Ovis aries: one gene and its partners. The protein of the gene in region 4 interacts with the protein of the main gene of each other region in a pairwise test. Links are inferred from orthologs where the notes say so. Each region holds a gene or a part of one and is shown on either strand. Other genes may lie near its edges.

Region 1 (3,500 bases), on a different chromosome or scaffold from region 4:
CGGCGGGGGGAGGCCCAGGAGGCAGGTCCCCTCCGGCAGCCCCGTGGCCGTGAGTCTGGGCTCCCCACGGGGCCCCCGGGGCTGGGCTGGGGGCTTTGGGCCTGGGAAGGATGCTCAGCTGGGCAGCTGCCACCTCGTGGGGAAGGAGGTTCCTCGGGAGTGTTGCCCAAACTCAGCGCAGGGGAGTGTGGGGGCCGTCAGGACACACATGGGAGGTGAGGACCACCCAGAGGGGCTTCCAGCAGCAGGTGGGGCAGGGGCTTGAGGCAGGCCTTAGGCCACAGGAGGAGGAGCAGAGCGGACAGGGAGGGCTGGGCGGCTCCGCGGGGGCCTCTGCGGCAGGGGCTGTTCACTGAGGAGGAATTGCCGGGGTGGGGGGCGAGAAGTCAGGCCCTGGATGGGCCTGGGTCCTGGGGACTCCTGGTGGTCTCCGGTGGGCAGAGTATGGAGGAGGGTATGCGGACCCCGAAGGCTGCCGCACAGATTTTCCTCCCTCTCCTGCCCCGGGTAGACGTGGGCCCCCAGCACCACTCCCCACCCCCACCACCCCGGAGACCCCCGCCCTGGTCCCCAGCCTGGCAGACCATTCCTTGCTTCCTTGCACTCGGCTGAGCCTGGCGGGGCCCCCGCGGTTGCCAGGGCCTAGACGCTGGAATGTCGGAGGCCCCTGCACTGGCCCCAGGCCCCTCCTGCCTCCACCGGCCGAGCTGGAACCCAGCCCCGCTCCGGGCCCTGGGCCCTCCCACAGCTCCTTCTCTGCAGGTGTGCGCGTTTGGGGCACGTGTGCTCCAGGCGTGCGTGCGCTCCCAGGCCTGCCAGCCGGTCTCCGCTCCTGCGTGCACCGGGGTTGTGGGCAGCAGCGTGGAGAGGGTCAGCCCAGGCGGCCTCTGGGGTGGACGGGTGGCCTCTCCAGAGGATGAGTCATTGCCAGCCTCCATCCCGGGCCTGGCCCTGCGCTGAGATGGGGCCGGGAGCCCGCTGGTCCTCGTGTGGCTGGGGGGTGGGACGCTCCTGCTCGGGAAGCTGGGGAGCAGCTCTCCCAGAGGCCTCCTCCCCGCCAGCCCCTCCTCAGGCCCCCCAGGTCCCCCATCCTCCTCCTGGCTGAGGACCATGTCCTGGGTGGCTGGGGAGCTCAGAGACCAGAGGACAGGCCTTGGAGATGGATCCGTCCAGTCGCAAACACCCCCTCAGGGGCACTGCCTAGCTCTCAGCAGGGCTCCAGCTGGAAGGGAGCTCTGGCCCCCTTTTACAGGGCGGGAGACTGAGGCTTGGAGAGGTCTGGCCTGCGGTGGGTGGGCCGGGATGCTGTGCAGACAGGTGCTGCCTGCCCTTAGAATGCCAGCTGATGAAGACGGAGCGGCCGCGGCCCAACACCTTCATCATCCGCTGCCTGCAGTGGACCACGGTCATCGAGCGCACGTTCCACGTGGAGACGCCCGAGGAGCGGTAGGGAGCGCAGGCGCCGCGGCCGGGGAGGCCCCGGGCCCCGGGCAGAGCTGGGGTCTCACCTGAGCATCCCGCAGGGAGGAGTGGACCACCGCCATCCAGACGGTGGCCGATGGGCTCAAGAGGCAGGAGGAGGAGACGATGGACTTCCGGTCGGGCTCACCCGGCGAGAACTCGGGGGCCGAGGAGATGGAGGTGTCGCTGGCCAGGCCCAAGCACCGCGTGGTGAGCCCCAGCCCTGCCCCACACCGCCCTCCCAGCCCCTGCACGGAAGCGGGGGCGACGCGCCGGGCGCAGGGAGGCCTGGGAACGGCTCTCCCACCCCCCGGACCCCAGCGTTCCCAGTTGGGGCGCACAGCCCTGCAGTCTCCCTTGAGCCCCGGACCCCCAAGGACCATCCTCCCCCCCGCCCGCTGCCCCAGCCTCACCGTCCTCGGCCCGAGGCTGCCCGCGGAGACCCCGGCCCCGCTCAGCGCTGCTGGGCCGCCGGCGGTCAGCGTGCAGCCCCCTGATCCTGGCGCCTGCACGCTGCCCTCAGACCATGAATGAGTTTGAGTACCTGAAGCTGCTGGGCAAAGGCACCTTCGGGAAGGTGATCCTGGTGAAGGAGAAGGCCACAGGCCGCTACTACGCCATGAAGATCCTCAAGAAGGAGGTCATCGTGGCCAAAGTAGGGGCGGGGGGGGCGGGGGGGCCGGGGCTGGGGGGGCGGGGGCGGGGCTGGGGGAGGGCGGGGGGCGGGGGGGGGCGGGGGGGCCGGGGGCGGGGGGGGGGGGGGGGGGGGGGGGGGCGGGGGGGGGGGGGCGGGGGGGGGGGCGGGGGGGGGGGCGGGGGCCGGGGGGGGGGGGGGGGGGGGGGGGGGGGGGGGCCGGGGGGCCGGGGCCGGGCAGGCGGCTCAGCAGTGCCCGTCTTGCAGGACGAGGTCGCCCACACGCTCACAGAGAACCGCGTTCTCCAGAACTCCCGGCACCCGTTCCTGACGGTGAGCGCGCCCCCCCCCCCCCCCCCCGTGCCCCTGGGGACCCCAGCCCGTCCTCCCTGCCAACCCAGCAGGCTCGGAGCTTGGACGATGGTGGGCGGGCCTGCGGGAGCGGCGTGGGGGTGCACAGAGCGGGCAGGGGCTCCCGGCTTCCCTCTGTCCTGCTGAGACCCCGGGAGGCTGCACTCCCCGCGCCCACCCTGCTGCTCCCGGCAGGCGCTCCCTGTCCTGGGGGAACTCGGCCCAGGAGGGATGTAAGGAAAACCCGAGCAGCAAGGCGTTGGCTGGACTTAGCCGCCAGGCCTGGCTGGCCGTGCTCCCAGGTCAGCAGTCAGGCGACCGGGTCAGCCTCCAGAGTCTTGTCCCCGGGACCACTGTGCTCAGCACGGTGTCTGCTCTCCAGCGGACGCCTGGTCTAACGCGCGGGGAGAGCCGAGCAGCAGGCAGGCTCCTAGGATGTTTTCTCAGGAGAAGTGTGAGGCGTTAAGAGCAGACACTGTTTGTCCGCCCAGCCCAGAGTTATCATGACCGTGGCTTTGCCGCCTCCGCTTCATTTTGCCCCTTCCCCTCTGTCTGGCCAGAGGACTGTGAGGAGAAGGCCAGGCTTTGTCATGCCCTCCACTGGGTACCGGCCACCTCAAGTCCTGTAGGGATCCGGACTTGCTCTGCCTGGGGACGCTTGCCTCCCTCCGGCTCTCCCTGGGGATGGGGGATGGAGCAGGACGTGGGGGAGGGTCTCACGTCGGTATCTTCATGAGCTGGGGGCCATCCCATCAGTAGCAGTCTTTCTTTTGAAGTGAGGCTGCCTGTGGTTTGACGCGTGAGGGCAGTGGGTTGCATCCTGCAGGGGAGTCTCCACGTGGTCAGTGGACCTGCAGCTGCTGGTCCTCGGGCATGGCCTTTGGGGCAGCTGGGGGTCTCCTGCTCCACGGGGCAGACCCCCTGCCCAGCCAAGGGCCAGGTTCGAGCTCTGCTTCCCTCACAGGCCCTGAAGTACTCCTTCCAGACGCACGACCGCCTGTGCTTCGTCATGGAGTACGCCAACGGGGGCGAGGTAGGGCCCTGCCCCTGCGCT
Region 2 (4,018 bases), on a different chromosome or scaffold from region 4:
TCTGTGATGAGCCCCTCTGCAGGTGGGTGGGGGGCTCTGGGGCTCTCCTCCTCACCACCCCAGCACTGCCAGTGCTGCAAAGGATCCCTGAGAGGAAAAACTCGGCTCTGAGCATTTAAAGAGAAGGATTCAGTCTTCTGTTATCAAGAACATAGCTTGGTCATTCCACAGGAGGGACAGACAAAACACAAGCTGGCGGCTGTCACTGGTGGACACAGTGAATAGCCCAGAAATGGCTGGAGGGAGAGGAAGATCCTCAAAGGTTAAACATAAATTTAAAAGACAAGGGGGGCGGGGAATCCCTGGAGGGCCGATCTAGAAGTACGGACCTTCGAGGATCCATCCCCGGCCTTTGCCCATTTCCCAGCCCTCCCAGCGCCTACTCGATCCCACGGGACCTGACTGGACTGCAGAAAGTCTCTACCAACGACATTAAGCCAGTAGAGCCCTGCGATTTTTCTCCAGTTACTGTTACAGAGGCGGGAAAACTGGAATTTTGCAATCCGAGTTGCAGCCAGACGACTAGACGCAAATGGGTGACGGAGGGGCGTTGTAGGAGGCTGCAGCATCCCAAAGTGGAAGGCGGTGCAGAAAGCCTGCAGCCCCGCAGCGCCCAGCAACTAGCCGGGAAGAGTGCCCCACGCCCCGGCGGAGCGCGAGCTCCAGCCGGGTACAGAGCAACCAGGCGCGCGCCCGCGCGTGCGCTAAAGGCCCACCCATCCCAGCGCGTCTCCAGGTGCGCTCGCGCTTCCGGCCGGCCTTCGCTGGGCGGAAACTCCAGGACTCGCGCATGCGCTTTGGAGCTCGCCTGCGGGGTCCGGAGCGCCCCTCCCGGCTTCAGGTGATCCCACCCCTCCCTCGCCGCGCGGGACCAATCGAACGGCGGCAGGCGGGCTTTTCGAGCAGGAGGCCCCGCCCACGCGCGGCGCGAGGCGGGTACCGATTGGTTGGCGCCGCGGGCGCAGGTGCGCGCTTCCCATTGGGTGGGGGCGGAGCGCGGGCTGCCGAGGCTTCGGCGGAGGCTGCAGGTGAGCGCGCGCACGCGCCGCGGCGGCGGCCCGGCCCGAGGGGAGGGAGCGCGCGCGCGCGCGGGGCCGGCAGCCGAGAGCGAGGCTGCGGCGCGTGTCCCCGCCGCTCCGCCCCCTCCGCCGCCTCCGCCGTCGCGGCCGCCGCCGAGGCCGGGAGGGCGGGCTCCGCGTCCCCGCCCGCCGCGCCGCCAGTCCGACCCTCGGTCCTGCAGCGTGAGGAGCCAGCCGAGCGGGGCCTGGCGCGGAGACGCGAGCCGCGGCCGCCCCTCTGCAGGTGCCTGTGAGGAGGAGCCCGGGCCGCCGCCGCCGCCGCCGCCGCGTCCCGAGCCCGCCGGCCGCGCACTCGCCCCGCGCGCCCCCGAGGGGCGGCCCGGCTGGAGGAGGCCGCCGCGGGCCCGGCCTCAGGATGAACCGCGGCCACCGGCACGGGGCGGGCAGCGGCTGCCTGGGCACCATGGAGGTGAAGAGCAAGGTGCGCGGGCCCGGGCAAGCTGGGGGCCCCCGGGGGCGGGGGGCCGCAGTGACCGGGCCTGGGGCCCCCAGGGGCTGGCCGGGTGTATGGGGCCGCCGGGGCCGCGCTGGGGGGACTTGGGGGCTGGAGACGGTGGGGAATGAACTTGCCGAGGATTGGCGGCGGGGGGCCCTTGTGTCCGCTCCCGCCCCCAGGTAAGGCAGGAGCCCCACCGAGCGCTTAATCCCCTTCCGTGAGCAATCATTCCCCTTCAAGGATGGGAGTCAGGCCCAAGGCATACCCGAGGATGGGGGGGCATTTGAGCGAGCGCAACGTGGTACGAAAGGTTTGGAGGAATTCTGCCTTCTGGCATGTGAGTAAAGAGTTTGAAACATCCGTAGTCACCCAAATGTAAAAGTTAGCCTTTGCTTCCTGTAGGGATTTTTCGAACACGAACTTTGGTATGCATTGAATCTTGTAAAGTGAACACTGTCACCTTTCGGGTGAGTGGCACTTAGCAGTTTTGAGTTTGGATGCCCTTCTCATTCCATCCTGCTACTCTTTCAGGTCAAGTGTTTTTTCCCTCTTGACCAACGGTATGCCTATCTGCCGATGACAACGTGTGGGTATCCTCTGAATTCCTAAATTGCAAGGCTCCCTGAGCAGGACAGTGTATCGGGATTAGTGAGGGAATGCTTTCTAAGGGAGGTTTTGAGCTGGAATTTGAAGACGATCGGCAGCCCCAAGAACATTCTCAAGCAAGCATTTCATGAATTGAAGAGCCAGAAGGGACTTAGATAATCTAGTCTGATTCTCGGAGAAGACAGGGGCTCAGAAAGGTTTTGACTTCAACAAGCTCTGCTTTTTATGACAAAACCTTAAAGCCCTTTTTACAAGATAAGTTTTAGGCCTTCTGGAATACTAAAGAGAGCACGCGGAGCTGAGCCCCCTGAACGTTTAAAATAAGAGTTGGAAAGATCAAGACACAGGGAAGAGTAGGAGAAAAGGAAAAGCGTATTAACTTCAAAAATAATGAAACCTTACTGAATATAAGATAACAGGGATGTGGTAGAAGGGAGAACGCAAAATCAAGGAGTGATTTTCAGTGAAGGAGAGTAAGGAAGGCTCTCTGGGGTAGAAGGGTTTTTATTATCTGGAGTTGATAAGTGAAGTCCTGTAAGTTGCCATAACTGAGATCTGCATTCATTTTTAACATTTTAAGACATCATTTTCAACTTAACTGGTATCACAGTAGGTACTAATTTCAAAAACCCTTCTGCTTAATAAGAACAGAAATATAGCAGGTTCAGAAATACACTGTCTCCTGTGTCCTCCATGGAATTGCCATGGCAAATTGAAGTGACATGCTTGAACTAAGAGTTAAGATAACAAAATATATAGCGAGTTTTTCCTCTAGCATATAGTGGTAGTAGTGGTTCTGTGGCCAATGGTTGAACCTTCTCACAGCATTTCTGTTATAAATCTAGTTTGGGTTTGTGGGAGTTGAGGTTAAGGAAAGAAAAACACGATATTGCGTAATCTTAAAATTCAGTTTGTGGTCCTAATCTTGGTAGCAAGTCTTTAACTTTTTATCATAGGAAAAAAATGAGTAGGGATTCTAGGTGCTCTGATTAAATACAGTCAAATGGTAATTTATCTTTCAGATTAGGAAACCTTGAGCGTGTAGGGACTAGAATTTCAGGCTTTCCATGCTTCTCTTCTGTCAACTGGTTTGTGAATCTTTCCCACACTACCCATTATATATTTGGCCTGCTCTTCTGGTAAACCGTAGCTCTTAAACAGAATCAAGGGTCCCACTCATTCTAGCTGCTGATCAGTAGGCACAGGGGAAGTACAGTTTCCAGTGCGTCTCTGACACCTTGTGTTTTAACTGTACATTTATTTTTAAGGGGTTAAAGAAAAGCACTTGACATCTTCACCATTTAAACAATATTTGGACAGATAGGTGGAACAATATGTCCATTTTCACTGCTTTGGTGGTAATATTACAGCTTTTTACAAAGTTGATAAGGAAGAGGTTGTGACCCCAACTCTGTGGTATGCAGATCCACATTTCAGGATTTCTTTTTCTTCTACATAAAAAGCAAGTTGTCAACGTCATGTCTTTGCTCATGGAAGGAGAAAATGCTACAAATAAAGTAATGGATCATGCAAATATAAGTATAGTTAAGTTGTGATACCAGTTACCATGTGACTTTTCTTTACAGTAACTTTCTGGTAACATTTATCTTCCTGTATCTATAGAGTTGAGAGAGCTATTAATAATCAAGGAGATGTCCTTCAGCAGTCTTGGATGTCAAAGACCTGGAATAGTCATTGAGCTGTACATTTCCTGGTTATTATTCATGGGGAACCAATACTAAAATCAAGTTTACATTTCTAAAGTGTTGTACCTAAAAATGCTGGGTGATGGGTGTCCATCCCCATGACCAGGCCAAACTAGACCAGGCTAAAAAAAAGTTTGAATAGTTGTTGATTGAGTCTTAATTTTATCTCTATTTTTGTATTTTTTTTCACG
Region 3 (3,498 bases), on a different chromosome or scaffold from region 4:
CTTCAGTATTCTTGCCTTGAGAACCCCATGAACAGTATGAAAAGGCAAAATGATAGGATACTGAGAAAGGAACTCCCTGGGTAAGTAGGTGCCCAACATGCTACTGGAGATCAGTGGAGAAATAACTCCAGAAAGAATGAAGGGATGGAGCCAAAGCAAAAACAATACTCAGTTGTGGATGTGACTGGTGATAGAAGCAAGGTCCGATGTTGTAAAGAGCAACACTGCATAGGAAACTGGAATGTCAGGTCCATGAATCAAGGCAAATAAACAGGAGATGGCAAGAGTGAAGGTCGACGTTCTAGGAATCAGCGAACTAAAATGGACTGGAATGGGTGAATTTAACTCAGATGACCATTATGTCTACTACTGTGGGCAGGAATCCCTTAGAAGAAATGGAGTAGCCATCATGGTCAGCAAAAAGGTCCAAAATGCAGTACTTGGATGCAATCTCAAAAACGACAGAATGATCTCTGTTCATTTCCAAGGCAAAGCATTCAATATCATGGTAATCCAAGCCTATGCTTGGAAGAAGCTGAAGTTGAACGGTTCTATGAAGACCTATAAGACCTTTTAGAACTAACACCCCAGAAAGATGTCCTTTTCATTATAGGGGACTGAAATGCAAAAGTAGGAAGTCAAGAAACACCTGGAGTAACAGGCAAATTTGGCCTTGGAGTACGGAATGAAGCAAGGCAAAGGATAATAGAGTTTTGCCAAGAGAACGCACTGGTCATAGCAAACACCCTCTTCCAACAACACAAGAGAAGACTCTACACATGGACATCACCAGACGGTCAACAACGAAATCAGATTGATTATATTCTTTGCAGCCAAAGATGGAAAAGCTCTATACAGTCAGCAAAAACAAGACCGGGAGCTGACTGTGGCTCAGATCATGAACTCCTTATTGCCAAATTCACACTTAAATTGAAGAAAGTAGGGAAAACCATTGACCATTCAGGTATGACCTAAATCAAATCCCTTATGATTATACAGTAGAAGTGAGAAACAGACTTAAGGGACTAGATCTGATAGACAGAACTATGGACAGAGGTTCGTGACATTGTACAGGAGACAGGAGACCATCCTCATGGAAAACAAATGCAAAAAAAGAGAGATAAGAAAGCCTTCCTCAGCGATCAATGCAAAGAAATAGAGGAAAACAACAGAATGGGAAAGACTAGAGATCTCTTTAAGAAAATTAGAGATACCAAGGGAACATTTCATGCAAAGATGGGCTCAATAAAGGACAGAAATGGTATGGATCTAACAGAAGCAGACGATATTAAGAAGAGGTGGCAAGAATACACAGTAGAACTGTACAAAAAAGAGCTTCACAACCCAGATAATCACGATGGTGTGATCACTCACCTAGAGCCAGACATCATGTAATGCGAAGTCAAGAGGGCCTTAGAAAGCATCACTATGAACAAAGCTAGTGGAGGTGACGGAATTCCAGTTGAGCTATTTCAAATCCTGAAAGATGATGCTGTGAAAGTGCTGCACTCAATATGCCAGCAAATTTGGAAAACTCAGCAGTGGCCACAGGACTGGAAAAGGTCAGTTTTCATTCCAATCCCAAAGAAAGGCAATGCCAAAGAATGCTCAAACTACTGCACAATTGCACTCATGTGCTCACATGCTAGTAAAGTAATGCTCAAAATTCTCTAAGCCAGGCTTCAGCAATATGTGAACCGTGAACTTCCAGATGTTCAAGCTGGTTTTAGAAAAGGCAGGAGAACCAGAGATCAAATTCCCAACAACCACTGGATCATCGAAAAAGCAAGAGAGTTCCAGAAAAACATCTATTTCTGCTTTATTGACTATGCCAAAGCCTTTGACTGTGTGGATCACAATAAACTGTGGAAAATTCTGAAAGAGATGGGAATACCAGACCACCTGACCTGCCTCTTGAGAAACCTGTATGCAGGTCAGGAAGCAACAGTTAGAACTGGACATAGAACAGACTGGTTCCAAATAGGAAAAGGAGTACATCAAGGCTGTATGTTGTCACCCTGCTTATTTAACTTATATGCAGAGTACATCATGAGAAACGCTGGGCTGGAAGAAGCACAAGCTGGAATCAAGATTGCCGGGACAAATATCAAACATACCATACCATTATATAAAATGATTTCATACCTAACGTTAAATTGGTGGGAAAACCAGCTTACTTTCAGACATACCTGCTTTGGCAGCCTTTATTTCCGCCTTAATTTTCATGACTTCTTCAGCTGACAGATCTCCCTTTTTTAAAACCACCACTTGGGGCTGTTCATCTTCTTTGTCACTGTGATCACCATCTTCTTCTGGGAGCTGAGGCTGGATTCTCTAGGAAAAAACACAAACACAACAAATTTAGTTCTGACCCTGAACTAAATACAACCACTGTCTGTGAGAAACTGTAATCAGTAGAGTGAGAAGAGTAACCTTATTGACTAAATGTGTTCGGCAGTCAATTTTCAAGTTAACTCTTAAGAATCTAACCTCGCCAGAGTAGGGAAGAGGTCCACCTGCCAGTTATTCTGGGGTGCCTATCCAGGGGAACCAGTTTCCATCCCAGCAGGACCCCAACCTGCAGTTCCTGATGTCAGGGGCCCTCTGTTCCATGCCCAGTCTACTCAGGGAAGTGCTGGACTGCACCAGTTCTTGCTGCTCTTCATCAACCCTTTTCACTTCCATCTCTTCTCAAAGCATAACAAACAAAAATACACCACCAAAGTACAGGAAACAGCAAGTAAAAGGTCCTCCTTCTCTGCTTATCTTTCTTCCCTCCCAGCAGCTTGTTTGGTGGGTATCCCATCAGCTGTTCTAAGTGTATAAAAATGTGGAGGTATAGAAAACATTTTGTATACAAACAGGACGCTAAACATACTACTATATAACTTGATTTCTTTTTTCTTTTTAAATTATTAAAATTCCCAAACATAAAAAAGTACAGAGAATAATGTAACAGAAACCATGTACTCACTTTACACAAGTAACACATGGTAACATTTGGCTAATTGAGATTTTTAAGAAAAATATCAGACACCATAAAAGCTCCACTTGCCCAACTTTTTTATTCAAAGAAAAAACAAAACGCTTTGCACAAAACCCTGAGATACATATGGCATCACCTATTTTTAAAAATTACTATTATTTAACTCTATATATGGTTATCTCATGGTTTATTTCATCAGTTCTTTGTAAGCAAAAATTTTGGTTGTTTGTAGTTTTTTCTACTACGATAAAATTTTTGCATGTTTTTGTTCACTTTTCCAAACTTATACATGGAATTCCCTGAATGGAAATGCTAGGTTTCAAGGCTTGCACACTCCACACACAGTATTCAAACAGCTGATTAGTCCACTTCTCACAGAGCCTTCCTTGTCCCCCAAACAGGGCATCAAAGCCCTGCAGGATCTGGCCTGAGTCAATAACCACAGCTATAAGCACAGTCTTATCTTCTTGCCATGCTCATGGCCTCTGGGCTCCAGGCAGGTTTGAGTTTTG
Region 4 (3,500 bases):
CACCTCCCTCCCCATAATATCTCTCTGGGTCATCCCCGTGCACCAGCCCCAAGCATGCTGTGTCCTGCATCGGACATAGACTGGCGATTTGATTCTTACATGATAGTATACATGTTTCAATGCCATTCTCCCAAATCATCCCACCCTCTCCCTTTCCCTCTGAGTCCAAAAGTCCGCTCTACACATCTGCGTCTTTTTTGCTGTCTTGCATACAGGGTCGTCATTGCCATCTTTCTAAATTCCATATATATGTGTTAGTATACTGTATTGGTGTTTTTCTTTCTGGCTTACTTCACTTTGTATAATTGGCTCCAGTTTCATCCATCTCATCAGAACTGATTCAAATGTATTCTTTTTAACGGCTGAGTAATACTCCATTGTGTATATGTACCACAGCTTTCTTATCCATTCATCTGCTGATGGACATCTAGGTTGTGAAACTGACATTTTAATACATTATAAGAACTACTTGTTTAGAAAAAAGAGAACAAAGCTGAGCTGGATGCCATAGATGGTTGCTTGCTAAGTTAATGGTGTCTATAAGCCCACAGGTAAGAGTCACAGGAAGAAGATAAGTGATCCCTACTTGAAACCAGTTATAACAGAATGTGAGATTAGATCTGTTATAATAATCAAAATATTTAGAATTTTTAGTTTGTAGCATTAAAAAAATTACATGTCAAGGTAGCAATGGTTCATTTGATGTCATAGTGAAATTATAATTGCCTTCAGCATGTCTTAAGCTCCCAGAGGGCCTGTAGCTTCTGCTTTTTGGTGTCTTTTACAGAATAAATGCTCAGTAAATATTTGAGTTTAATTATATGTGCAATTTGTTGACATTTCTCCCCAACTACAGTTCAGTTGATAGTGGGAGTAATCAGGTTAAGCAGATTCAATCTTGTGAAAGTCTTTAAAGTTAAATAAAATTTGACCTCAGAATTCCTTGACATGTTGTCTTCCTCAGTAGGACAATTCCTTATGGTCTTTCCTTGTGGATATTAAGGGAGTTCAGCATTTGCAGCCTTCACTAACATCATTGCATTGGCTGCCTTTTGTTATTTCTCTAAGAAGTAAAACCTGATACCTGTTTTTCCTTTTATGATTTTTACTTCTTTGTATCCTTATAATAATTAATAGGAAGTTAAGAAAATTATGACAGATTTTAAAAATCTTTTCTTGGCATACATTAAAATAATCAACATTATAATTAGTTTCTTTAAATATTGTATTTTGCTTTTTCCATTTCAATTGCTGTAGGACCTTGGCCTCACTACTGTCTGGGAAGACCAGCTTTCTTATCTCTTGTCACCAGCTCTGGCGTCTTATGAATTTGAGCGTACAACAAGCATATCTGCGGGCAATGAAGAGTTTCAGGATGCTATCAGAAGGGCTGTGCCTGATGGCCACACATTTAAAGGGTTCCCAATACACTTTGTGTATAGAAATGCGAGGCGCGCGTTTGCCACATGTCTTCGGTAAGGTGGAATTTATGATGTCTTGGTGTTTTTAACATAATTTCAGTGAACACTTGGCACTAATTTAGGAATGACTTCAGAGTCACACAGGGAGCTTCTGTAGTGACCTGTCCTCTTGCCTCAGACTCTGATTCATTAGGGCCAGAGTGTAGCTCTGGAGAGCTCAGGGTCGTTTTTCTGCCAAGGATCACTGATCTTGTCTAGTGTAATTTAAAAAACTTAATTGGCTATGAGGAAATAGTTTATAATTTGAATAGTTTTACCACAGTTGCAGAGTCCTTGATAACAGAGACAGGATTTTTAAAAATCATTTTCAATACCCGACTTTCTTGGAAATAAAGTAAAACCTAAATTCATTTCTTAATTGAATCCATTTTCTCTCTTCTAAGGTCTCCTTTCTGTGAAGAAATCATCTGTTGCCGTGGAGACCAGGTGCGCCTGGCAGTTCGTGTCCGCGTGTTTACTTACCCTGAATCTGCTTGTGCTGTTTGGATCATGTTTGCTTGTAAATATCGCTCAGTACTATAGGACTAAGTTTCTATAAGACTATACCTGTGTTTTATTAGAATTTTACACATTGTGTTGATAATAATACTAGGTGTTTTGAGGTTCATTACTTTAAAAATCACAATCTGGCTTCGATGTCATATTTAACTTTTATATAAGCCTCACTAATAATGTTTGAAAAGTATCATGATGTGTGTTTAAAAATTAAGGATGAAAAACTTGTATAAATTTGAGAGGATGGTAGTATAAATTAAGTGTTTATCTTATTTTAATAAATACTACTTTGCTTATAAGTAGTCAGTAGTTTAAATATGAAAATAAAATTTACTTAGTTTTCTTTGCATTAACAGGTAATCAGAAAGTTATTTGCCTAAGGATTTGAGCCATAGTGAAGTTAATACGATCATTATTTTTCATAGAGTAATGGGATTATTTTATATAAATTAGGAGAAATTAACTTCACAACATTTATTTATTACATAGATGAAATGCATTTTGATGAATTTACCACTTTCGTGGTTTACTCATAACTACAGGGATATTTGTGACTCTCTAGAGAGTTATGGGAAGACATGGGTGCAGGAGCAGAGAAAAAACTCATACCAGAAAAGCATTATTATTAGTAACAAACCACACATGAAAGTATACAAATAATTTATAAGTATTTGTTAGTTTGATTCATTGTAAAAGTGAATTGTGTATTTTATTATTTTTTTTGCTTATTTATTTTTGAATTATTTTAGAAAAAATTTATTATACCCTTTAGTTGTATGTTGAAAATTGTTTTCTATAATTGATATTGGCAGTCTGTTGCTGATTTTCTGTGGTCACAGCATTCTTTACTAGCCTCTCGTGGAGTTTATCTTTTGAAATCACAGTTTTTGTTTCTTTCTTTTCTCTTTATGATAAAAGCATCCATGTGTATGTGGTGAATGTAAATCAGAGAATCATCATGTGAGGCCACTGAAAAACGAGCATCTGTGAGTGCCTCCATGCTGATGTTTGTTTTTAAGTTGAGAACAGTGCACTTTGAAGAGGCTGTAGTGGTTTAAACTTTGTGAGAAGCTGCCTGATGGGATTGCCTTGCCATCCACCCACCTCTCTGTACAGCTCTCATTCTTTCCTGCAACCACTGGGCTTCTTATGAAAGTGACTATACCAAGTGGCTGTGCAAGTTATGCTTTTCATTGCTAATTCAACATGGCAAATAAAATGATATTTTAGAAATTAAAATCTAAAGATACTCTAAAATTTACTTTTTAATTTTTACATATGTAATTATTTATGATATAACTTGTTTTAAAAGTCTGAAAATAATCTCTCATACCAATTTTTATTGAAAATGACCAGAAATCAGAAGTTTCTTGAGACTGACATGACTTTAGAGAATCAGCAAGATAAGAATTAAGACTTTTTGGTCTGTTACCAGAGTTACTTGCAAAGCTATCAACAGGAAAAATGGCTTGTAATTTTCAGCTTTTGGAACAAACTATTTGTGAGGCATGTACTAGGAGGCAG
Region 5 (4,230 bases), on a different chromosome or scaffold from region 4:
AAGACTCCTGAAAGCTTTAGTGGCATCCTAGCCTACTAAATAAATGTCTGTTGATGGTCATGATGATGCCCATAGCTCCACAGGTACACCTGTAAAATAAGAGCCCTCCCTACCTAATTTGGGGGCGTGCAGAACAAAAAAAAATGTCCCTGGGGTAGAAGGAAAACTCAGGAGCCCGAAGATCATGTGAGTGAATAGAAACCCTATCTGTATATCTTATAAAAGCACTAAGGAATTTTAGATTTGATCAAATATTAGCCACCTCATCTTACATATGAGACCCCATTACACCCCAGGTCATGGTAGTAGCGCAAGGATCTTTCACTCTCAGGAGAATTCTGAACAGAAAACCCATCGGCTTTCTTAAGATTAACTACTGCTTTCTTGCTCCTGACATTTGTGTTTTTAACTTTTATGGCTCAAAGGCAAAATTTCAACTGCAATTCTTTGCTGCCATTGAGTTCAGGCCTGTACTGTTTCCATGGGGACGGCTTTGCAGCAGCATTCCGCGCCCCCAGGTGTTCACAGCCACAAGTGGGAGCTACAGCTCAAGGGGCTGGAGAATCCTCTCAGGGCGGTAGGGAAAGAATTTGTAGCTTCCTCCCAGACTTTTCCTCAGCAGTGGTGTAGGGAATGGGTGAGCTGAGGAAGTGGGGAGAGAGGGGAGAGAGGAGGAAAGGAGGACGCCTCTGGGGGGGATTCAGTATTGTTCCGCAATCCAACCAGCAGGGGAGCAGGACTGTAAGGCAACTCCGAGGCTCTGGGGGAAGTCTCCTGTAGAGCAGCGGGAGGAAACATCCGGCCTACAGCCGCATTAAGGCGGGGGCTAATGTGTCCCAGGAGGGAAGGATGCCACCAGCATGAACCTCTTAATACTGGCACAGTGGGATCCCAGTAAAGCACTGACTTGAAGGGGATGTGTTCTCTACACAAAAGCCAATATGTCTGTAGCATGTGGCACACTGACTTGATCTCAAGTCTTTTTTTTTTTTTTTACAGCAGGTGAGAACATAAATTTAATCCATGCTTTAGTTTTAGCCACTCCAAATACATTATCCTAGAGGTTTCCATGACACATATCTCATAAAGAAATGCTGAAGTTCACCAAGAGTTCCCAGAGCTTTGGTCTTATTTCAGAATTTGCAGGAAGTGCCACTGCACTCACATATAACAATAATACTCACATATTAAGTACTTATTTATGCTAGGCACTGTACCACATGTATTAAGCACTTATTTATGCTAGTTATTTTTATAAGTGTACTAAAACATGTATTAACTCAATAACCCAATGAGATAGTAATCAGTATATTCATCCCCATTTTACAGATGAAGAAACTGAGACATAGAAAAGCAAAGTAAATCCACAAAGGCTGCACAGCTAACCAAGAGGTAGAGCCAGGATTTGAATCTTGAAATTCTGCCTTCAGAATCCTTGTGTTTATTCCTATATTACATTGTTGAGTGAATCAGCTGTTTGCTAAATAAATAGCTTATCCCTGAGTCAGTGTGAAATACATAGCCATACCAGATTATCCAAAACTTCCTCATTCCTAAGAAGTACCTGGATATTTGCAAAGATACAGATTCCCAGACTCTAGCCCACATCTACCCACAACCAAGCAAGCTTGGAAAACCCTAATTTAGGTGGAGTGTGTACTACTAGCTCTGATTATCATGAAAACAAGGTTTCTGTCCTGATTATGCCTGTTTTTGAGACTGAGCAATGTCACTGCTCAGTATCTTAGTTACTCTGTTGGCTGCCTCTTACTTACTGGAATGTTATAAGAATACATGAAAATTTCCCCCCTCATAAAGAAAATGTTACATAAATGATAATATCCTCATAAAATGATATGCATGTATTAAAATGCATGTATGTTAACGCATACAGTTTTTTTAGCTTGGCTTTACTTGAAGCATCCACCTAAGGCCCTCATCCAGACCTTTCCTCTAGCCTCTACCCTAGGTGACACAGATACACACTCCAAACTAGGCTGCATCTGACCGACATTAGCTCTCTCCCTCTGGGAGCTCTGATCTGTTCTCTGCGCAGCCCAACAATAAGAAACTTTTTTCTCCTCTCCCTCAGGGGAACCTTCACGTTCATCCAATTCATTCTCTTGCAACCCAACTCTCCAGAAAGAAAAGGGGGGCGGGAATCCCACCCCTAAGAGACGGGTCTTCAGGTCTGAGAAGGTTACTTAGCAACGGGCACAAAGACCAGTGAGCAAAGGGGGACCTGGGGAGAAAACTCTTGGGTGGGGAGACAGAGCCAGTTTGAAAACTCCATTTCATCCAAAGAAAAGCAACATGGAAAACAAACAGAATCAACCCTGAGAAAAGCCAAGCGGGGCTCCACTCCAGCGCAGGTCATCATCTCCTTACTCCCTGCGACTCAACTCTTTCAACCCCCTAGTGACCAAGTCCTCCCCCTGGTTTCGCCCATGGCCCGGGTGCCCTCCCCTTGCCCTGGCCTGACCCACACAGGCTTGGACTCGGCCCCCACCCCCACCCCTCCCCGGCACCCACCGTTCTCAGACGCGCTGGGACCTTCGCAGTCCGAGATTAACTGTTGGGGTTTCCGCTGCTTTCGCCGAGACATTCCCGGGTAGAGAGAGGTGGGACAGGGAGGGACAACGCTCACTTAGTCTGAATCGGGGTGACCTGGTCAGGTCTTCCCCCTAGGTCTGAAGCCAACTGATGCCTCTCCCCCAGTGCCAATCACTGTGAAGCAGAGATGTTCTCGCTTCCCAGGGACAGACAGACAGACACGCGCGCGCTCTGATTCTCAGTCTCTGACTCTCTCTCAATCTCTGCAAGTCTTTAAAGGGGAGACGCCCCCTTTTTTTTTCTTCAGCTTCTTCCCTACGCTTCTGCAGCTCCCATTGTAAAAGCAAAAATCCTAATCTTTCCGCACACTCTTTTCTTTTGTACTGCAGAGGAAAGGATTTAACCCTCTCCTCCCTGCCTGGGTTCCGGGCCTCTCGCTCTGCTGTCTGTTCAGAAAATGTCCCTCCGTCGTTTTTCTGACTCTTCCTCTAAGCTCTTCGCAGTGCTTTCTGGTTATTTCATGATTCTGTGCCACCTTGTTGGAAGATGTGACTGCTTCTGGGGTATAAGCGGAAATGAAAACTTTCTGGTATATCCTGATTATAAGGCCAAGAACTCAGTTACTCGCAAGTCAAAAATGAGAAAGGCTGACCAAAAAATTAAGTAAAAATGATCATTATATATATGTAGATCTCTTTAAAATTTATAAGATATTTTCATGTATGGGGCATAGTTTGAGAAATACATCTTTGAGGTTAGCACACCCAGTTTTACTACTCCTATTTATAGATGATCCTCTTTATAGCTGAACCAAAAGGCTCAGGGAGGTTAAGTAACTTGTCCAAGATTGCACAGCTGTGATGTAAGAGAAACAGCCCTGGCACCCAGGTGGATCTGACAGTAGTCTAGTTCTTTTTTTTTTTTCTTTTCCTCTATAGTGTTAAAACGTACAATATGCCACCAAACTCCTAGCATGTAAAATGAAAATGATTGATCTTAAGGAATCTCATTTAAAATACCCACAGGGTCAGGGGCTCTTCTGTGTCTCCCACTTCTTTCCAGCTCCCAGAGCGGAAGGGATGCCACCTTTGCTAAAATCATACAGAAGAGTTCCGTGGTACTCCAGAGGAGACATTGGCTTCCCTGGCGGCTCAAGTGGTAAAGAACCCGCCTGCCAATGCAGGAGACGCAGGTAGGATCCCTGTGTCAGGAGGATCCCCTGGAAGAGGAAATGGCAACCTGCTCCAATATTCTTACCAGGACAATTCCGTGGACAGAGGAGCCTGGTGGGCTTCAGTCCGTGGGGTCGCAAAGAGTCTGGCACGACTGAAATGACTGAGCATTCATGCACCACCAGAACAGAAGTTACAAGGAGGCACCTTCAGCTCAGTATAAAGGAACTTTATAAAGTGTGATGGCTTCTCCTGTAAATTTATGAGCTCTTTGCGACATGCTCTCACAGAGACAGAAAACAGTTGTCAAGGATTCTGTGGAAAGAATTTCTTTGTGGATATTAAATTTGATCTTTAAGAACATCATTTGGTGTACTTGCCCAGTGGTCCAGTGGTTTAAGACTCTGCACTTTCAATGCAGGGGATGTGGGTTTGATCCCTGGTCAAGAAACTAAGATGTGGTATGGCCAAACAACAATAACAAAAAAACCATCGTTGGCAATGA
Region 6 (3,500 bases), on a different chromosome or scaffold from region 4:
TCTCCTTATTTCCCGAAGATCTTACTAAACAGCTTTAGTGGCTTGCAATTCCCAATTTTGGGCTATCGTCATTGGGAATTTGTTTAGTCCTTTCCCCAGCTCAGAGTACTATCACATCATTTCTGCAAAGAAAGGACCAAAAAAGGAACAGAAAGGCTTATGTACAGTTGTCAAAGACTGTTATTCCTCTCTACATTTTAGAGTGGCAGTTGTAGGAGGCTCACAGATCTTTCAGCATTTTAAATACCACAAGTGAAAAGCAGGGTATTATATAATTCTGTCAAGACTCACCTTGTGATTGTAAGAGTCTGCCACGTACAGTAAATTCCTTTTCTTGTCCCAAGTTACTCCAAGTGGGTGCTGTAGCCTCGCATCGATTCCTACTCCATCAACATCACCAAAAGCAAATAAATTCTTTTTTTTTTTTTTTGAAAAGAAAAAAAAAACAGCATGTATTAAAATTTTTTCACAGAACTTTGTTAGGGTATAAAGTGAAAATTCAGATGGCTGTACATGCTACTTAAGTTAAATGGGGAAAAGTCTGATTTCATATAAATAGGGTTGGGCATTTGACTGAAACTAGAGAAAAATGACAGAATTCTGAACCTGATTTTTAATTTGTGGTTCTAAGGAATCTTATTCACAAAAATGACACATCTGATTCAGGTCTACTTACCCTGGAGCTCTTTCCACCCTCCTGCTAAATTATCTACTCTTCATCTTTCCCCTTGCTCAGTAATCACAGTTTTATCCTTCCTTTCTCTCGGAAGCCTTGACATTCATACAGAATCAAATCAGATCAGTTAACTTTTCAAAGGTGGTTTTGTTACTTGTGCTTCTTTATAGTCACATTTCCTTTGGTTTGACTTCCATTTTAACATGGATAAGTCCAAGAATTTTCTCCTTCCTATGTCTTACTAGGGCTTCCCTGGTGGCTCAGAGGTTAAAGTGTCTGCCTGCAATGTGGGAGACCTGGGTTCGATCTCTGGGTAGGGAAGATCCCCTGGAGAAGGAAATGGCAACCCACTCCAGTATTCTTGCCTGGAGAATCCCATGGACGGAGCAACCTGGTGGGCTACCGTCCACGGGGCCGCAAAGAGTCGGACACGACTGAGCGACTTCATTTTTTTTTTATGTCTTACTAACGTCACAATTCAGCAAATCGCATGCTCGCTCAGCAGGCACACGGCGCAGAGGCGCTCTTCATTACCGTGGGGTCTCTCTCTCCTCCCACGAGGGGTCTCACTGCTCCGTCTTTCAGCGAGACGGCTCTCACCGTGCTGCTCTCGCTGTCTGCCACGAACAGGCAGCTCCAGGGGTCCTCTGCGGCCAGAGACAGGCCTGAAGGCTGAGCAAAGCCTGCCTTATGAGGGTATGCATTATTCCGATTCTCTTCATTTCCACTTCCAGCAAACCGAAGGCAGGTTCCTTTTTTTAACTCACTAAAGACGACAAATTCACAGGTGAAGTGTCAACACTGTTACACTGACCCAATTTAATTACTAAACAAATGAATGTAAATGAAGCCAATGGTGATAGCATTATATATATATTTTTTAAATCTGCTAATCCTGACCTAGTTATATTGTGCAAATAAGCTTTCATTGTAGTTTTTCTAATCATTAACTTGTTCACCCACTGTATAGGGACCTTTCTATCTTTCTGTTTTTAAAACATACACAAAAGTGAAACTATTCTCAATGATTAAACAGGAGATCCCCGACAAAGTTAAAAATACATGAATAAAGATCACATCACTGATGGGATAGTTTTCCTCCAAATGATCAGAGGCAGGTACAGCTAGATCCCACCTTTACATCCTGGTCTCTTCTTAGTTTCATGCAATATTAGATTCTGAAAGGGGATTAAAAAGATCTAGGTAATCTCTTCCAGCTCTTGATAGTTCTGAGCTTAAATTTTTATTAAAAATGTTTTATTTTCTTGTACATAAGTAGAGACCAGGCTTTCCTGGTGGCTAAGTGGTAAAGAATCCACCTGCCAACCAGGAGACGTGGACTCAATCCTTGGGCTGGAAAGAGCCCCTGGAGTAGGAAATGGCAACCCACTCCAGTATTCTTGCCTGGAAAATTCCATGGACAGAGGATCCTGGGCGGCTATAGTCTACAGGGTTACAAAAGAGTTGGACATGACTTTGTGACTAAACAACGAAAGATATAAGAAGAGACTAGCAAGAAGAATTAAAAGAATCATTTGTGAAAGATGGGTGCTCATTTTAAAGTAATAATATGATTTCGCTGCTTTAATCAATTGCACAAATCCATTTCCTATGCATACTAGGGAAATTTCTATTTAGAGGACTATTGTAATGACTTGTAATAATTTGTAATATGGAGAAAGTTTTATACCTTGGTTTCTAAGTTTATGTCAGAGGAACTGTAAGGAAGACATGCTAGTGTCTTGTATTGAGGGGAGGGAAGAAGCTAACTTGGGATACAAAACAATGAGAGACTCTGTATCATTTTCTAATACTGTAAAACATGCAAAAAAAAGTCTAAAATAACCATCAGTCACTTACTGGTTAATATCATCCCAATGCTAACGTATGTAGGGAACAAGGAGTGGAAGCAAAGGGATAGAAAATGTATAAATACAGCCATTTATTCAGGGCCTATTTATATGTAATAACAAATATGCCAAACAAAGGACTTATAACAATTTTACAAAGGAGCTCTCTTAATAAAAGCTAGAAATAGTGGGGAGAAACAGTAACTTCTAAAAGTTCAGGAGTTATTACCACTTGAAGGTCAGTGACAAATAACGCATCCTTGAAATTGTAATACAAGTCAGTGTGATCAGACTGGACACTTTTCTATTGTGAATGAGTGACAACTCTACTTAGTGAAATTTAGACCACTCTTGACCGTCTAGGTCCAAAACAGTCATCATTGAGAACAAGGTAGTCTGGTCATCTCTGCTGCTGCTTTTTTCCTCATCTATGTTGTTGGTCACCTCACTATTCAGCTTCTGTCAGCTCTGGCCTGGATAACAGCAGTGGCCTCCTCCTTGAACCTGTCTGTAGTATTGCCACACTCCAAATGCTACCAGTGTTCTTTCAAAAACACAAATCTTATGATATCACTTCCCAGCTTAAAACTTCCCATAATGTCATGTAGCATAACTTTCAAATCTCTTAGAAAGATTCTAAGGATCTGGCTTCTACTGACATCACAAGGGTCATTTCTTGCCTGGGAAACCTCTACTCTTCTGAACTCCTTCCTACCCTCTGTCAGGTTCAGTTAGTAGCTAAAAAGGAGATCTTAGTTAGTAGCTTCTTCCAGGAAGCCTTCCTTTAATACCTTAAATTTTATTTATAATGGATGTTCCTCTGATTTATGTAAGAGACCATACCATTTCATCCCTACTGCAAAGCATAGTGCCTTGTTTGCTTAAAAAATATTTTTCAATGGATGATTAAATGCTGCTAAACATCTTATAAAGCAACACACACCCAATTCAGAATATCTGATATTCTGGATATC
Region 7 (4,155 bases), on a different chromosome or scaffold from region 4:
CTGGGAAGCCCGTTTATTTGTGTATCCCTCCCTATATATTGAAGTCCATGAGTGCATAACAGTGCCTCCAGTTCCAGTCCAACACCACAGAGCTTGTTCTAACTTTTCCCCTTTCTGTATTAAAAACTCCCTTTTCCAGCAGCGAGAACCCCGATTCCCTTTATCCCTAGTATAATCCCATGTGTAACCAATCTCCCTTCTCCTTTGCTGTCTGCTCCTGTGGGGACGCCTTTCTCTCCATGATCTGGCTTCAACACCCTGCACCACGCCACCTCCATGAGTGGATATCGTCACTCTGCTCACAGTGCAAACCCTTACCCTAGATGAGGTGATACCCGCGTGTAGATAAACCTCGTCACCCAGTTCATGCTCCAGTATCCTGTACCAGGCTGCTCTTCTGTGGGTTCATCCTCAACTTCCCAGGCGCCAACACTCTGGGCCACGCAACCCTTATTGCCTCCAAACCCACCCACTTTTTTTTTTTTTTTTTTTTTACTACACCACGTGGCACTTGGGATCTTAGTTCCCCAACCAAGGATTGAACCTGCGCCCCCCGCAGTGGAAGCACAGAGTCTTAAATTCCCCCACCAGGGAAGTCTCTCTATCGCTTCACTGTGGCCTCTGACTACCCACATCAGTGTGGATGCCTACCTTGCCCCTCCTGCCCTGAAATGTTCAGGAAAAAAAGAAGGGAAGGGAAGAAATGAGCAGAGGAAGGGCAAACACCACCCTCCTGGCTCACTGGAAAAGACCCTGGTGCTGGGAAAGGTTGAGGGCAGAAGGTGAAGAGGGCAACAGAGGATGAGATGATTGGATGGCATCACCGATTCAACAGACGTGAACTTGGGCAAACTCTGGGAGATGGTGAGGGACAGGGAAGCCTGGTGTGCTGCAGCCCATGGGGGTCTCGAAGAGTCGGACATGACTTGGCGGCTGAACCAGCCACTATACTTGCCTATTCCCAAAGTCAGGTTCTCACGTGATGTTCGCATTCTGCTCGTGTACTCACGTTCCTGGCTTACTCCAGAGCTCCTGGAAGCCAGGGGCCGTGTGCTCTCCGTCTTCACTTGCACAAAGGCCAGCAGAGGCCAGGCTTAGGCCGATCACGCCACGTGCCTGTTGGAACGTTGTATGAATGGATGCCCTCCGCTCTAATCCTCGTTTTTGCAACTATCCTTCCAATTCTATTCTGGGGATAAAAGGTCAGAGCCTGACACTGGCTCCCCCCCTCCACCCTCCAGTCTCCCTCAAGCCAGATGGGGAGGCAGGAACAGCTGTGATCCCTCCCCAACTTGAGAAGAGATTTCCCACCCAGCTGTCACAGCCCCAAGGGAGCCAGGGCGACCGGGGGAGAGGCAGGCAGAGTTGGCCAAGGACTGGCGGAGAAGCAAAGGAGGCTGAGCCACCAAAGGAGGACCTGAAGTCGAGGAGGGGTGCGGCCTCTTGAGATCGGAGCCTGATGAGCTCCACCATGACACCCTCCATGCAGTTTCCCATGGGTCCTGCCTGCATCTTCCTAAGAAAAGGCATCGCGGAGAAACAGCGGGTGAGGCTGGGGGCGATGGGGAAGGACGGTGGGAAGCTGGGATGCGGGGAAGAGAAGGGCTGTGACCGGCAGGTGGAAGAGGGGAGCAGGGGGTAGAGCATGACCTGAGAAGGTTAAAGAATCCCAGGGAGCACGGTGGGGACACGTGGGTCAGGGAGGGGAGGGTGAACTCAGAAGTCAGGACCGGAAGGCAGAAGATGAAAGAGGAGACAAAGGGGAACTGGGGTGACGTCACTGTTGACCAACATCATTGTTTTCTACAGACACCCATAGTGATGCCAGCGACGGTGGTGGTGGTGGGGATAACAGTAGCTGTCGATTATTATTTTTTAATTGGTGCTGGGTCTTAGTTGTAGCATGTGGGATCTAGTTCCCTGACCAGGAATTGAATCTGGCCCCCATGCACCGTAGCACGGAGTCTTGGCCGCTGGATCACCAGGGAAGTCTGTAGTTGCCACTTAAGTCATTGCTGTGTGCCCAGACTTGTGCAAAGGGTTTTTCATTCTTGATATTATTTAATCCTCACAATCAATGACTCATGAGGTCCGTAATGCCTTCATTCCCATTTTATAGATGTGGAAGGTAAGGCTGTGAGTCATGAAGTCCATTGCTTTAAGCTTTGACAATTAGTAAATGGCAGGGCCAGAACCGTTTGATTCCAATGGGCATGCTTTTCACTGTTAGTCTTTAAGCCTAACTAACTGGGGGGAAAGTGAAAGTATTAGTCGCTTCGTCATGTCTGACTCTTTGTGACCCATGAACTGTAGCCCACCAGGCTCCTCTGTCCATGGAATTCTCCAGACAGGAATACTGGAGTGGGTTGCCATTCTCTTCTCCAGGGGATCTTCCTGACCCAGGGATTGAACCTGGGTCTCCTGCATTGTGGGCAGATTACCTTCTGAGCTGCCAGGGAAGCCCCAGCTGGAGCGGGGAAGGGGATACTAAAAAAGAGAAGGTGGGAAAAAGTCTCCAAGGGTAAAGGGAGGTATGGGGGCTGAAAGAGGCCAGGGGTTGATGGAATTTTCCTGGGGAGGTGCTACGTGCTCAAGCCTGACCCTTCAGGTATGTCCTGGCGTGGCTAGTGGCAATATGAAAGGGTTTCAGAAATTGGTTATGCTGGCTGTGTTCATCCTGCCTGGGAGCCACTGAACACAGCTCTTACACCAAGGGATTCTCACCCAGCCACTTATGAGCTGTGTGACCTCAGACAGGTTCCTTAACCTCTCTGTTCCTCAGCTTTCTCTTAAGTAAGATGGGAATGGTATTTGGCTCGACCTCCAGGGTGGTTCTGAAGTTGAAATGAAATGATTGTGGAAGCCCGGCACAGTTAGCACTCTGAGTATGTTAACTGATTCTAAGTCTGACTCTTCCTCATCTGGAGGAGACTGGATTTCATGGCCCCCAGGATCTGTTTTGGCACAATGGGATGGATGTCCACTGGGGAAAGGCAGGAGAAGAGAGACCAAGGGAGAGAGGAAATGAGAAGGGGGTGAGGAGGAGTGGGAGGAGCAAATAGCCAGGGACGGGGAGTCAGGAGGTGGGAGAAGGAAGGTGAGAAGGGTGGAGGGGAGGGAGAAGGGGAAAGGACCAGGAAAGGATGAGGATGAGACGTGTTTGGAGAAGTGAATGTGGGTCTCTTGATTCTCTTTCCAAATCCTGCCCCCACCCCCCGCATTCCTTTCTAGGAAAGACCACTGGGACCAGATGAGATTGAAGGTAACACTTCTCCCCCAGACATCCCCGTATCACCATCCACCCATTCACCTGCCCTCTGTTCCTTTGTACATTTCAGCATAAATCCCTCGACACAAAAATTTTACATCACTCTCTCTTCCCACTCAACTGTGATTTCGTGGCAGTTTAAGTACTTCCCAAAGTGTTCAGAAGCCATCCTGACCCCCAAGTGTCTCAGAGACCCATGAATGATGCCTGAGTTTTAAGGATAAGTCCAAAATTATTCTTTTTTTTTTCTTGGTGGTTTTGAAGTTTCTCATTACTTCACCCAACAATGTGAAGGACTTCAGTGCTATCATTTGGTGGTCTCGAGAATTATGCCTCTTGCTAACACACTTCATATATCTCTCCTTTTGGACATTTTTATAATATTTTTTTTTTTTGAGGAGTCTTGAGTTGGTGCCTCATTGACAGTTTCAAGGGATGCTCCTTTCCCCCAGTGACTGTTTCAAGTTGCCCCAAAGTTCTTGTCTCTTAACTTTCAGAGCTCCGGGAAGCATTTCTTGAGTTTGACAAGGACCGAGATGGGTTCATCTCTTGTAAGGATTTGGGGAATCTCATGAGGACAATGGGTTACATGCCCACGGAGATGGAACTGATTGAACTGGGCCAGCAGATCCGGATGAACTGTGAGGCTTGGGGGTGGGAGGAATGACCCGGCCTTAGGGGAGGGTTAAGAGTGAAGTCAGGAAGCATATGGAGGTTGAGAGTAGAGCTGGAGATGGGGAGGAGGAAAGCAGGGCTAGACGTCTGGAAGAAAACTGCTCAGACTGTACTTAGGGAGGCAGCATTTGAAGTGGTTAAAAGGGTGATTTTAAAGATAGATTTGGGTTCAAGTTCCATTCTGTTGTTTACTAGTTGTAGTCATTATGAGA

The links.
Region 1: the proteins of CEP76 (region 4) and AKT1 interact in binary tests that used the Homo sapiens proteins (3 or more experiments, as listed by UniProt). The link is inferred for Ovis aries from reciprocal best matches to the Homo sapiens genes CEP76 and AKT1.
Region 2: the proteins of CEP76 (region 4) and PARD6B interact in binary tests that used the Homo sapiens proteins (3 or more experiments, as listed by UniProt). The two-hybrid records come from large-scale screens. The link is inferred for Ovis aries from reciprocal best matches to the Homo sapiens genes CEP76 and PARD6B.
Region 3: the proteins of CEP76 (region 4) and KIAA1143 interact in binary tests that used the Homo sapiens proteins (3 or more experiments, as listed by UniProt). The two-hybrid records come from large-scale screens. The link is inferred for Ovis aries from reciprocal best matches to the Homo sapiens genes CEP76 and KIAA1143.
Region 5: the proteins of CEP76 (region 4) and SALL2 interact in binary tests that used the Homo sapiens proteins (3 or more experiments, as listed by UniProt). The two-hybrid records come from large-scale screens. The link is inferred for Ovis aries from reciprocal best matches to the Homo sapiens genes CEP76 and SALL2.
Region 6: the proteins of CEP76 (region 4) and NHLRC2 interact in binary tests that used the Homo sapiens proteins (3 or more experiments, as listed by UniProt). The two-hybrid records come from large-scale screens. The link is inferred for Ovis aries from reciprocal best matches to the Homo sapiens genes CEP76 and NHLRC2.
Region 7: the proteins of CEP76 (region 4) and CABP5 interact in binary tests that used the Homo sapiens proteins (3 or more experiments, as listed by UniProt). The link is inferred for Ovis aries from reciprocal best matches to the Homo sapiens genes CEP76 and CABP5.

What each region holds. Positions count from the first base shown.
Region 1 is NC_056071.1:66,964,250-66,967,749, reverse strand, and holds part of AKT1 (RAC-alpha serine/threonine-protein kinase), read left to right. Parts: intron 1-1,334; coding exon 1,335-1,446; intron 1,447-1,523; coding exon 1,524-1,671; intron 1,672-1,984; coding exon 1,985-2,116; intron 2,117-2,362; coding exon 2,363-2,428; intron 2,429-3,410; coding exon 3,411-3,479; intron 3,480-3,500. UniProt on the Homo sapiens protein: AKT1 is one of 3 closely related serine/threonine-protein kinases (AKT1, AKT2 and AKT3) called the AKT kinase, and which regulate many processes including metabolism, proliferation, cell survival, growth and angiogenesis.
Region 2 is NC_056066.1:78,706,353-78,710,370, forward strand, and holds the start of PARD6B (partitioning defective 6 homolog beta), read left to right. Parts: upstream 1-1,218; 5' UTR 1,219-1,434; coding exon 1,435-1,500; intron 1,501-4,018. UniProt on the Homo sapiens protein: Adapter protein involved in asymmetrical cell division and cell polarization processes. Probably involved in formation of epithelial tight junctions.
Region 3 is NC_056072.1:16,468,001-16,471,498, forward strand, and holds part of KIAA1143 (uncharacterized protein KIAA1143 homolog), read right to left. Parts: intron 2,335-3,498; coding exon 2,190-2,334; intron 1-2,189.
Region 4 is NC_056076.1:43,547,447-43,550,946, reverse strand, and holds part of CEP76 (centrosomal protein of 76 kDa), read left to right. Parts: intron 1-1,257; coding exon 1,258-1,475; intron 1,476-1,864; coding exon 1,865-2,003; 3' UTR 2,004-3,500. UniProt on the Homo sapiens protein: Centrosomal protein involved in regulation of centriole duplication. Required to limit centriole duplication to once per cell cycle by preventing centriole reduplication.
Region 5 is NC_056060.1:23,991,272-23,995,501, reverse strand, and holds the start of SALL2 (sal-like protein 2), read right to left. Parts: upstream 2,801-4,230; 5' UTR 2,606-2,800; coding exon 2,533-2,605; intron 1-2,532. UniProt on the Homo sapiens protein: Probable transcription factor that plays a role in eye development before, during, and after optic fissure closure.
Region 6 is NC_056075.1:33,891,393-33,894,892, reverse strand, and holds part of NHLRC2 (NHL repeat-containing protein 2), read right to left. Parts: intron 1,443-3,500; coding exon 1,211-1,442; intron 415-1,210; coding exon 292-414; intron 1-291. UniProt on the Homo sapiens protein: Required for normal embryonic development.
Region 7 is NC_056067.1:54,626,352-54,630,506, reverse strand, and holds the start of CABP5 (calcium-binding protein 5), read left to right. Parts: upstream 1-1,355; 5' UTR 1,356-1,459; coding exon 1,460-1,546; intron 1,547-3,231; coding exon 3,232-3,262; intron 3,263-3,765; coding exon 3,766-3,909; intron 3,910-4,155. UniProt on the Homo sapiens protein: Inhibits calcium-dependent inactivation of L-type calcium channel and shifts voltage dependence of activation to more depolarized membrane potentials. Involved in the transmission of light signals.